Linked DNA regions of Schizosaccharomyces pombe. The protein of the gene in region 2 interacts with the protein of the main gene of each other region in a biochemical or structural test. Each region holds a gene or a part of one and is shown on either strand. Other genes may lie near its edges. The genes, in order: nbr1 and ams1.

The links.
Region 1: the proteins of ams1 (region 2) and nbr1 are reported together in a solved structure, tested with the Schizosaccharomyces pombe proteins (one study listed by BioGRID).

The regions. Positions count from the first base shown.
Region 1 is NC_003423.3:985,583-990,458, forward strand, and holds nbr1 (protein Nbr1), read right to left. Parts: upstream 2,928-4,876; 5' UTR 2,723-2,927; intron 2,420-2,722; 5' UTR 2,256-2,419; coding exon 1,062-2,255; 3' UTR 801-1,061; downstream 1-800. Other genes in the region: SHREC complex ATP-dependent chromatin remodeller Mit1, read left to right, coding at 1-742; subfamily NudF ADP-ribose diphosphatase Ysa1, read left to right, coding at 3,976-4,593; Swr1 complex histone chaperone module subunit Swc2, read right to left, coding at 4,835-4,876.
Region 2 is NC_003424.3:2,912,717-2,920,778, forward strand, and holds ams1 (alpha-mannosidase), read left to right. Parts: upstream 1-1,762; 5' UTR 1,763-2,184; coding exon 2,185-5,418; 3' UTR 5,419-5,645; coding exon of another isoform or gene 5,646-6,752; 3' UTR 6,753-7,562; downstream 7,563-8,062. Other genes in the region: M-factor precursor Mfm2, read right to left, coding at 292-304, 347-468; SPOM_SPAC513.04 (uncharacterized protein), read left to right, coding at 687-989; dhd1 (dihydrodiol dehydrogenase), read right to left, coding at 5,646-6,752.

The DNA.
Region 1 (4,876 bases), on a different chromosome or scaffold from region 2:
AGGCTCCCCATTTCCCATAGAAACTGAGACAATCAGTTCGATAACAGATACTTTATCTGATAAGCAAAAACTCAAATATGATTCGAGCGTAAATATCGAAAACTTAAATGATGAATCTGATTCTCAAAAGTCTGCAGATGTTCATTTTGACTCTATCTTAGCTAAATCTCTATTAGCAACAACTCCCAAAGAAGATGAATTTAACAAAACTCTATCCACCATCAATTTAGAGGTGGCTAACAAATTAACTTCTTCAGAGTATATTAATGATTCGGAAATGCAACTGATAGACGATCCAGTTTTTTACCCACCTTACGAAATAATTGAAAAAAATCATCAACTGGTTGGAAGATCTTTGTCTAAAGCAGTTCTTGACAACTTTTTTCTACTGTCTTCTTTGTCTGATAATGTACGTTGTCGATGTTGTGGTATTAAACATTTACCAGCACATTGTCCATTAAGCATTGTGCCATTAGAAATATGCTTTTTATGTGGAACACCTCACTTTAGTGGAAGGGACACGTGCCCTATGTTACGAAATAAGGAAGCGATTTATAGACTAAAAGATTCGCTTAGCAAATCACGAGAACCATTTCACATCAAAAAACAAGCTATGGCTAGATTAAACTCGTTTCTACAAAAAAAGGAGGAACCTACTGTATCAAGCAGTGCCAAAACTAATGAACTTTCATCGAAAGTAATCATAAAGGAATCCATAATTAATGAAGCAAAAACTCTTTAGAGTTTTATCATCAATGTATACTATTATTTAATCTGGCATATTCATATGTATCCTGCATTTTATTCGTTAATATATAATTTTTAATATAAATTTTAAACATATATAGCATTTCCATCAAGATCATTATAACAAGGTAGGATCAAATATGGTAACAAGTGATTCAACTCTGAAGCAAATCATGAACTTAAAACCGGCGGTTATATACGAACAACCGCCAGACAAGTGGACAAAAGAAAGAAATATAAAACTGAAATCAGTTTCGTTATCGTTGTCTTCCACACTAAACTTCTACAGGACATAAAAAGCGTTACGAATGGTTTCAAAAAGACGACTTACTAATTCTGCTAAAAGACTTCGGTACACGAAGGAAGGCGCAAAGACTTTTGTGAAAAACGCTACCATCATCGGAGCAGATATTAAAAAATGCGGTAAAAATCTCTTTGTTACTTTTTTCAGGAACCTTCAAAGCAACTGTAAAATTAACATCCTCACCAGGATGAACGGAAGAAGTGATAGGAAACGAATATGGATTGTCTCCTGGAAAAAGTTTGTCTCCACCATTAAACTTGACATACAACGGAGAAGGCCACGATTGACAAGAAGTATTCCTTATATGCCATATTTTATAAAACGGGCAGCCAGGGCTTAATTCTAAGGGGAGAATGGAGTCCTCAACTAACTTGAAGTCGAAATTAAGAACCTTAGGTTTTTCAGGTTTAGATAAATGTAAAGGTGAAGCAGATATTTCGCGAGTTAAACGGAGCATTGAATGATGATCATGATGCACATGAGATACACATGAGGAGCAAAGATCATAGTCTTCACAAACCAGACAATGAAATCTTGGTCCAACTATTGGATGAGCAAGACAGTTGTCACATTGAACCGATCGATGTACTGTTGAGGCAGACTCAAACAATTCGGCTGATAGGAACTGAGGGAACAAATGAAATGAAGGAAGACCATGAGGATAAGCTTTAGTAATTCGAACGAAAGCATGCGTGTTTGAATGACTATTGTCGGTAAGGCAAGACTCACAAATGTCGTAGTCATCACAAACACTACACTTGTAACGCACATTATGTATAGGTTGCTCACAATGGTCACAAATGGCGTACATAAAATTAGATTGGGGAGAAACTGACATAGAATTTACGCTGCAGGTTAAGGAAGCAACTGAAGGGATTGAAGAGCGAACAAGTACGAAATGGGGTTTTGGGCAAGGATGGAGGAATGCCTGTTTCGCATAGCAGTCTCTACAAACATCGAAATCGAAACACTTTGTGCAATGAAATGAGTCATTCCGAATTATCTTGAGGCAAGTGTTACAAGCAACAGAAGAAGACCTTAAAGTAGGCGAATTATTATTGTGCTCAAAAATGTTTGACTTTAAATTATTCTCCTTAGTGAAGTGGATATTAGCGACTGAGGAATGAAAAGGAGGGAAGGAAGGAACACTATGGTTGCAAAGAATCCCACAATCAGAAGAGGGACATGTACGATTGCAAAGCATTTCGGGATCAAAAACGTGAATAAAATAAAATAAAATTTAATGATAAAAGAGAGCGTTAAAGAAAGCAAAAAAAAGAAAAAAATCGCGTAAGCAGTCAAGAAGTAACTCGAGTTCTTAGGTAAGAGAAGGTCTTAATTGTAGGTAAAAAGCTCTTTCGAAATAAGCTAAAGCAAAATTAGTAACGATATTAACTAATGAAATTAGTTGCAAAGTAAAATTTAATAGTTCATATGAATTTTGAAATTGAGGAAATATGTGACGCCGAAGTGAGCAACAGTGCTAGCAATTTCAGAGTAAAGGCAATAGAAAAAACAATCTTTATCAAGACAAGGATTTTTACGTTCTCGTAAATATTTATCGAAGATGTTATTATTAAAGTTCCATCAACCACTTTAGTCCTTCAATCCTTTTTGTAATTTGTTGTACAAACATTGAACTTAAGACTTTGTGCAAGTAAATTATCTTACCTATAGACGGAACAGGAAATAAAGACAAAACAAATAATTGAAGCGGATGTGTAGAGATACAGTGCAAACGAAATGTAAGGAGCGTTGGAATTGCAACTATAATGACGGGTTCCTAATTGGTTATGAAATCAAGCTATTAATTCTAAATGGGATGTATTCAACGGGTGAAGTGAGCAGGACAAATTCGCTAGTAGAAGTTGATGGTAATGTAAATGAACGAGGTCGAGGTGTAAGCTTATCACACGTATATGGGGGATGAGCATATCGTACTGATAATAGATAAGTTAAGCGTCGCTAAAAAGTGGTAGCGTTTAGAAGCGTGCACAGCATAAACAGTAACTTAGCGAATTTATCTACAAGAGGTTGGTACTTCAACGCATGGCCCTAAAAATGAATATATGAAAAATTTTGTTGATGTAGCAAACTTGAAAAAGAAATTGATTTAGTTAAATTGGAAACTACTTAACTTAAGCCCTAAAATGTACTTAGAAATCGGCTTAGACATTAAACTAGATATGGGTTATGGCATAAATGTAATTTAAATGAGATGTGAGTCGATAAAGTATTAATATTATATATTCTTAAATCATAAGTTGACGCTATTCTAATATCAATAAGCGATTATGAACTGAAAACGTAAATAAATGCAATTTCTCTTACAGCGTAAAATCTTTTACTACAATAATAGAAAAGGGTAGGAAAAACTCCATTATATTGGCTAAAACCGGTCACGGTATCTTTTGATGATCCGTTTGTAAAATCAATTGCAAATGAAAAGACACTAGAGAAGGTGATAAACGACCAGTTTATAGCTAAGTTAATAATTAATGGTATACTCCGCGTTATGATTTTGCTCAAATAATAATTTTGGTTTTTTGCTGATTGTTAATATTTACATTAATGAAATTTGTAAATATACGTCAAAACAAATTAACATCATACTTACATTGTCATACTAATCGCACGTTTACGCATTAACGGGAAAAAAGTAAGCAATATTTCAGTTGGATTTTAAGTCACTCATGCACCGAAATTTTTTCCAGCATATTATTAAAAGTACAAGAACATTAGGTATAAATGCAACTTCATTTCTAACCCGATATTTACTTAACGTTGGTAGACACCAGCATCCTCCGAAATTGATTAGCTCATATTCTCACATCGCTATTTCCACCTTCTCTTTTCAAATATCAGCAACTTCATTCCAACACCCTTCATACACTGTCAAAGGTTTGAGCACCTGTATTGATAAAATGAGCCAAGATCAAAAACCTAAAGTTTTGGAAGTGTCCAACCTTGAGAATCAGGATGCCAAGTGGACATCCTTAAAGAAAATCCGTTGGCAAGACGAAAAAGGAAAAATCAGGTTTTGGGAAATGGCTGAACGTACGACACGTTCAGAAGCCAATGTGGATGCCGTAGCCATCTTAGCCATTGTTCCTATCGACGGAAGTCCTCATGTGTTGTGCCAAAAGCAATTTCGTCCTCCTATTGGCAAGTTTTGTATTGAAATTCCAGCAGGTTTAGTTGATTCTAAGGAGTCTTGTGAAGATGCTGCGATTCGAGAGCTTCGTGAAGAGACTGGCTACGTTGGTACTGTTATGGACTCCACCACTGTCATGTACAATGATCCGGGTCTTACGAATGCTAATCTTAAGATTATACTGGCTGACATTGACATGTCGAAGCCTGAAAACCAAAATCCTCAACAACAACTTGACGATGGCGAATACATTGAGAACTTTCCAATCAAGCTTTCTTCTTTACAAGAGGAATTATTTTCTTTAGAGAAGAAGGGATTTGCCATTGATGTTCGTCTCTCCACATTTGCACTAGGATTACATGCTGGTCTTAAATACTTGTCGTCTTAGCTATGCACCTTTTGCTATTCACTGAATTACGACCGTTTACTATTAAATGTTGCTAATGGACTTTTTATGCTATAACTTTCCTTTGTTTTAGTCAAACTTTATTAAAAATAATATATATGTCTATCCAATAATTCCCGTTACCGTGTTCCCCATAATTCGTAGTTCATTGCGTACATAACTGAAAAGTAATCAAAAGAAAAGAAGAAATACCAGTTATTAAGTTCACCATTACCATACATGCCTAATGAAAAAGATTTAACATTGCGCTCCATGAATAACGTTG
Region 2 (8,062 bases):
TTGTCGTCTTACTTTTTACACAGTCTCTTACTCATATATAAGGAAGATAATAACTGACGAAAACAGAATCATAAATTAATTAATTATAAAAAAAAAATAGCAAAACGATGCAATTAGAAATCACAAACATTGGAAAGTTAAGGCACGTGGGTTATAAGGAAAAGACACATATAGTATAAAATTGCAAAAAGTATTCATAAAGTGCTTTACAAGTTTGTATTCCCTAGGAAAAAAATGAATAAAATCAAACATAAATTGCTGGTAAACCTTGGCAAAAAGATTCCAGTTTGATTAAGCAATTACACTATATATTGAATTAGAATGAGTAAATACTAACAATTCTTACCACATATAAGGAACCTTTGGAGTATAATTTTTAATGTTTTGAGTTTTTACAACATCGGTAGGATTGTTGTTGTAGGCATTGACAATGGATGAAGAATGAGTGTTAGTTGCAATGGAGTCCATGTCTAATATTGATGAAAAGAACGTAAATAGAAGTGTGTATTAGATGAGAAGTCAATATAACTTGATAATAATTATGTACATTTTCCCTTCCTATAAATACCTTTTGCAAAATGCCAATTCCCCAGAAACTGTGATCTCTTTGTTCATTTGCCTATTGTTTGACCCATTGTTTAATTCTGGAATAGGGATGCCTTATGCCGGTCGCCAAAATATAAACAATGACCGCAAAGATGGCTGAACCATTGTACTTTAGAATATGGTCCTCGTTAAACATTATCTGTTTAATGGTGACTTTTCTTAATGTACAATTGTCAAAGACACCTATTGTGTTGATGCCTTTGTTTATTGCACTATTGAAAAACAATAGGAAGCGGGAGACGAAAAAGCAAACGATAAGTGTTTTGGTACAAAAAAGAGAAGAGAAAACAAAGCTAGTATTAGATGATGCTAATAATCACAATCATGCGTTTCTTTACCACTGTCAATATTTAGGGCAAAAAAAACATGTAGTGATACAATAAAAACAGGTATTACACAACACTGAATTTTCATATATATCAAAAACATTTTACCATAATTTTTATTATTTTAATATTTAAAAAACAATTTTCTTTATCTTCCTGTAATACCTACGTTTAAGCATCCACTTTTCTATTTTCCATTCATAAAATGGAGAGGTATGTTATTCGAAAACAAAACAAACCGCCGTCGTTTGTTACTTGTTTAAATTAAATTCGCGTCGCGTTGTAGCGCGCCGTGTTGTTGTTGTTTAATAATTCACGACAGAAACTTAAGAATAGTCAAGCCATTTAGCTGCTTTACAAATCTTGTTCTTCATCCATAAAACTATCTTTGATTCAAATGTTTCTTCTTTTCACGAGAATTTGATACTTTTTTGTCAATATAATATCCCTCGCTTTTCGCAAATAACGAAAATGAAAATGCGTTTTCAATGCTGCTGAGAATTTTTACTGTACTATATATATGTATTAACAATTCACTACTTTATGAATAATACAATTTAATCTCATGATATTTGAATCTTGTTTCCGACCGCTAATGAAATAGCAAGTTCCACCTTCGCTCACGGTACTTTTGCACATCTCGGCTGGCCTTGCGATAACCTAGTTACATAGTCCAAGCACAGCTCCGTCATTATATAGACATTGGGCTGATTTTTCAACTCGTAAAACCACATTACATACATCGGAATTATGTACCTAATAAAGGACTCAGTTTACATCAACTTCCCGAATTTGATGTGTTTGATAGGAAAGCTGAACATTCTTAGTTTGTACTACATCCACTCTAAATTTATCAGGTCAATTTAATGATTAGTTCGTTATTATTTGGCATACAAACTTGCTTAAATTGAAACTTTTCATTCGCGGATAGACTTCTTGAGGTTGAATCGCATTGTTTGTTTGTTATTGTAACCAACATACTCTCTATTCATTGAGATTTTTTAAGTTACTTATTCTGGTCTTATATAGTTTTTTAAGTCTTTTTTAATTATTGAAAAATAAACAAAGACAGATTAAGTCTTAGCCAATCTATTCTTCCACGTTCCGTTCCTACCAAACGTTTTCAATTTAAAGATCTTCTGCTTTCCTCAGCAGTTTAAGGTTGTTTGGAAATTTTTCAAACAAAAAAACATACCTAAATTACATATACTTTACACCTACCGTGCTATCTTTTCAGCTATAGACGATTGCTATGACACTCTTCCCAGTATTAAATAATACTCCTGTCGGTAAACAAGTTGACTCGATTTACGAAAGTCGTCTTGATCAATTCTTGTCCGAAGGGCAGTATAGAGATTTTAATCTTCCAAGTGTTTACGATCACGCTCGGATTGATAACCCTAGTGGAGATGTTAATAATGATTTATCCAAAGGGTTTGTTGATTTAAAGGTCTACCGTGTACCCGATTTGTCTCGTCCGAGCTTCAATGAAGTGGTAGGACATAAAAAGTTCGATGAAACTGCTTCCAAGGGAGATACATTTGGACCTAGTTGGGCAACTTTCTGGTTCGAGGTTCATATTCGATTGCCAAAGTCGTGGGCTAAATATGAACAGGTTATTTTTCAATGGAATTGCGATAATGAAGGTTTGGTCTATTCACAAGATGGTGTTCCTCTTCAAGCTTTTAGTGGGTCTGAAAGAACTGATTTCATATTGCCCGATTCGTGGAAAACCACTGAAGATACTTTTTATATTGAGATGGCTTGTAATGGGATGTTTGGAACTGGTGCTGGCAGTCAAATTGCTCCTCCTGACCCAAACAGATACTTTACTCTTACCAAAGCTGATTTAGTAGCTCCTAATCTTCCTGCCATGGCTTTGGCATACGACTTTCTTCTTATGCAGCAGTGTGTCAAACAGCTTCCTTCCAATTGTTGGCAGAAATACAAGGCTCGCCAAATTTGTAATGATATTATGAATACTTTTCATCCTAATGACTTATCTACGATTAATGAGTGCCGAAATCTCGCAAAAGCGTTCCTTGGCAATGACATTGATTCTGAGGCAGTTTTTGAGAAGAATAATGACAAAGCAAATGTGTTCGCAATCGGTCATTGTCACATTGATACAGCATGGTTATGGCCGTTTGCAGAAACGAGACGTAAAATAGTCCGTTCTTGGGCTACTCAGATGAACATCATGGATCGTTATCCGGAGTATCAATTTGTTTGCTCGCAGGCACTACAGTATTTGTGGCTCAAGGAAGATCACCCTGATGTGTTTGAGAAGCTAAAAGAATATGTGAATCAAAACAAATTCATCCCGATTGGTGGTAGTTGGGTTGAACATGACACAAATATTCCGAATGGAGAATCCTTAATTCGCCAATTTTTACTGGGACAGCATTTCTTCGAGAAAGAATTTGGAGTACGCTGTCGGACATTTTGGTTACCAGACACTTTCGGGTATTCTAGTCAAATTCCACAAATTTGTCGTCTTTGTGGAATGGATAGATTTCTGACTCAAAAATTGTCATGGAATAATATCAACTCATTTCCTACTTCTACATTTAATTGGGTAGCATTAGACGGCTCCCAAGTTATTTGCCATATGCCGCCTGCAAATACTTATACTGCTGATACCAACGTTAACGACGTGTTGCATTCAATAGATCAACACAAAAATCTTGTTAACGATCAAGCAGGCTTACTCGTTTTTGGTATTGGTGATGGTGGTGGTGGCCCTACTCCCGAAATGCTTGAAAAACTTCGTCGGTGTAAAGGAATTGCGAATACCGTTGGATATTTGCCAAACGTAAAGCTTGGAAATACGGTGGACGAATTTTTTGATGGCATACTTAAAAGAACCAATGCCGGTCAAACGTTACCCTCATGGAATGGAGAATTATATTTTGAATTTCATCGTGGAACGTACACTACGCAGGCCGAGCTTAAGAAATTAATGCGCAAAGTAGAGATAGCGCTGCATGATGCAGAATATGTATCTACTTTGGCTTCTATATTTAGTAAAGATTATTCGTATCCCAAAGAAAGCCTGCAAGACCTCTGGAGAGACACCTTGTTATGTCAGTTTCATGATGTACTTCCTGGATCCTGTATCGAGATGGTTTACAAAGATGCTATTCCTATCATGAGTAAGGTTCTAAAGAATACCGAAGCTCTTTTATGGCAGGCTATCGAACAGCTTGGTTTTAAGAAAGCTTCCTCTTCTGATAATAAAGAACAGTTATGCTTGTTGAATACCCTGCCTTGGAATGTTCGTGGTGTAATCACGGAAACCGAGGAAAACAAGCTCGTTTACTTCGAATCTTGTGACGGTAAAGGAATTTTAACGGCCGCTCATACGTCGCTGAAGCACCCTGCTGCTGCCTATCAGAAAGATGACAATTTCATATTAGTAAACGACCACTTAAGAGTTACTATTGCACCGAATGGTCTTATACTTAGTTTATTTGATTTACACAAAGAACGGGAGATTCTTGATTTAAAATCTGGTAAAAATCATGCAGGAGCTAATCAGTATGTTTTGTTTGAAGATACTCCTTTATCTTGGCAAGCTTGGGATACGGAGGTTTTTTCATTGGAAAAGTATGAAGTTTTAGATAAAGGAAAAGTCAGCATCAAAGAATCTGGTCCTTTGAGAGCATCCGTAGTTGTGGATATCCCTATTAGTGAATTAAGTCATATGAAGGCCACCATCTCCCTTGAAGGGTACAATGATTGTTCCGAGTTTACTGGTGTAAACTTTACTTGCGAAGTGGATTGGCATGAAAGTTGCAAATTCTTGAAAGTGGAGTTTCCCGTCGATATTCATTCTGAATTCGCTAGTTATGAAACGCAATTTGGCATTACTAAAAGGCCTACGCACTACAATACGTCTTGGGACGTTGCTAAATTTGAAGTATGCCATCAAAAATTTGCTGATTATTCGGACTTTACCTACGGAGTATCCGTCCTTAATGATTGTAAATATGGGTTCTCCACACATGGAAATTTAATGAGGCTCTCTTTGCTTAGATCTCCCAAGCAACCAGATGCTCATGCTGACATGGGCAAACACACGATCCGATATGCTGTATATCCCCACTCAAAACCTCTAGATTCTTCTACCGTCCGAGCCGCTCATAAGTTTAATAGTAACTTCCGTTTACTTACTCGTGCTTCTGACACAGCAAATCTAGATATCTTTGATGCTTTCCAACTAGTTGGAGAGCCCAATGTAATATTGAGTCATATAAAGATGGCAGAGAAAGGAAAATCTATTATTCTACGCGTTTATGAATCCCTTGGTGGGAAATCTCGTGCCAGATTGGTTATCAAGTCGCTTACAGTTGCCTCTGTTACGAAATGTAATGGTTTAGAAGAAGACTTGGAAGAATTGTGCACGCTAAAATCGAATGACTATTATGAGGTTCCCATTGAATTGAGAGCTTTTGAGATTGCTACATTCAAGGTGAACCTTTAATATTATATTCATAAAGTACCAAGAGTAAAGAAAGAATATCTATCTTTTCATGATAAATGTGCGCAGTAGAAGTAAACATATTTTAACTAATTGTCTTGGCTTAGGTTTGCAAAGTTTCGTTTAACAACTACTTATAGTACTAACTGTCACGTCAAATTTTAAAAATCTTTCATAAAAATATAAGACTCATAAAAGCAGAAATCCAATTAAGCTCTTTATCCCAGCAGTTACGCAGTGGTATAACGCAAATCAGCAGGATATGTGACATTAATTTGTCTACGAATTTGATCAGTTAATTGCATCATCTTCAATGTCTCCTCATGGGGTATTTCAGGTGCCTCCTTCATGTTTTTTAATAAGCATTCAGCGACGGCATCCTGTTCGTAAAAGAATCCAGTAGCATCATCAAAGGAAAAGTCAAATACCTCTGTCTCCCCAGAAGCACGTATCAATTTAATACTCTGTGGGCGATAGCAATCACCAGAAATGAACAACTGATTACCGTTTTCTCCATCCAATTTAAGAAAATCATCGGACATTTTACCACGATCCATTGAGGTGCATAGCATAGCTATGGATTCTGTTTTTGGAAATACTAGAGTAACTGCTGTAGTATAATCCCCTATATCGCCGTTATGATCTTCAAAGGTAAGAGCGTTTGAGGAAACAGTGGGCTCTTGCTTTTCATTTTTGGGATCATCATAGAGCAGTAATCGAGACCAGGTAAGCGGATAAACACCCATATCTAATAAAACGCCAGCGCCCAAAGAAACGGTGCGTAAACGGGATTCTGAGGGTAGTTCACGGAAACGAAAATCTTGTGAAAAATCTACAAAAAGACGGAAGTGATCACCACAAACACGATCTTCATGTAGAAGAGTCTTGGCAGCCTTTACAATTGGGTAAAAACGGATCCAAAAACCCTCCGCGAAAAATAGATTTCTTGCTCTCGCTAATTCCACCAATTCTAGTGCTTCTGGATAATTAATGGTAAGAGGTTTTTCGCATAAGACTGCTTTGTCGTTCAACAAGGCAAGCTTGACAACTTCATAATGCTGAGGGTGGGTCGAACTAATGTAAACGATATCCACTTTATCATCCTTTACCAATTCCTCATATGAACCGTACGCTTTAGGCTTGCATGGGGCACAATGATTCTTGGCGAAAGAGGAAGCACGGTGTTCACTGTCACGTGTAGCGACAGCCACAATTTCATGTTGAACTTTGTGACGCTCTGGTACGCCTACGAGATCTTTGGCAAAGACCGCAGCTATACTTCCTGCACCCAAGAACCCCCAATGAATTACAGGACTGGCACCACTCATAGAAGTCATTTTCAAAACTTACGTTCAACGAATCAAAGGAAAATTACGATTGTATATTATGAGAAGAAAAACTGAATTATATTTTTCCAACCGTTTGTTTGACCCAAGTGTCCGTTTTATAGCAACAAAAAGTTGGAGAATTAAGCAAACACAGAAGAAACCACAGAGCAAAGAAGTGGTTATGAGTTCAGTACTTATCGAAGCTTATATACATTTACAATTATGTAAGCGTAAGTACATGTGTTTCCAATTTGCGTGCTAAATAATAAGATTTTCGTTAGCTATCGGGATATCGCTTTGAAGTCACCACTATGAAGTAAATGAGTGTCATTAAAAATGATTGACTACCGAGAGTGATTGCTTATGAATAAAAGATCATATTATGACCTGAATATGTCTATCACACTGTTCACTCTTTAATAGGAATGTTGTTAAGTAGTAGATTGAAAATTTTGAAACTCAGTACATCTTGGAATGGTGGAAGTTTGAATACCTAGAGAAAACATGTGCGATAGTCGTACACAAGTTTATGGTTCCAGAATTTGGTCTAACACTTGGAATCAAGTTGTTTTGTCAATTCGTTACTTCTAAGACAAACTGTAAATATACTAGGGTTTTATCGACTAAGTCTGTGTTTTATCCTTAAACGAAAAATTGATGGGATCATAGCGTCAAAGGTAAAAACTATACTACTTGGGAGTTAATCCTTTGAATATGCATTCATGAATATGAAGTTGATTTTTTAAATTGATCCATATCATTCGTATGCGAACGTACTGCTATAAGAAAATACTTTTATTTACAGATAATATTAATTATCGTATTGCAAATTCCATAAAGCTGTATACATATGAGATAGCGTAAAGCGTCATTTATCGGTTTATTATTTTACAGAATTAAAATAATTCATGCGGTATATACTTTGTAACGCTTTTCCACGTGCGTTGTTAAAAAGATGAGATGGTAGCTATAACAAATAGACAAAAGAAGTTAAAGATAGACGTTCATTGAAAGCATATTTTTTTAGAAACTTTCAATCAAAGGAGAAGGAGGAACAGGAAACAAAAAATAAGTCCTAGGAATAATACGCTAGCTATGTTCAAAATTAAACAAGTTCCGAAAGATTTCGTTGCGCTGCATTGCGATATGCTATTTGTCCTATTAACCAAATGTGTATAATCTTGGCTACTGTATTAAACACATAGTTAATTTTGGCAAAAGGTATTTAATATTTACAAATACTACTTGGGGATAAATTCAATTGCAAAATTAATTATTTCTATTCATTCATATAGATAATAAAATCCAACAGTTCGATT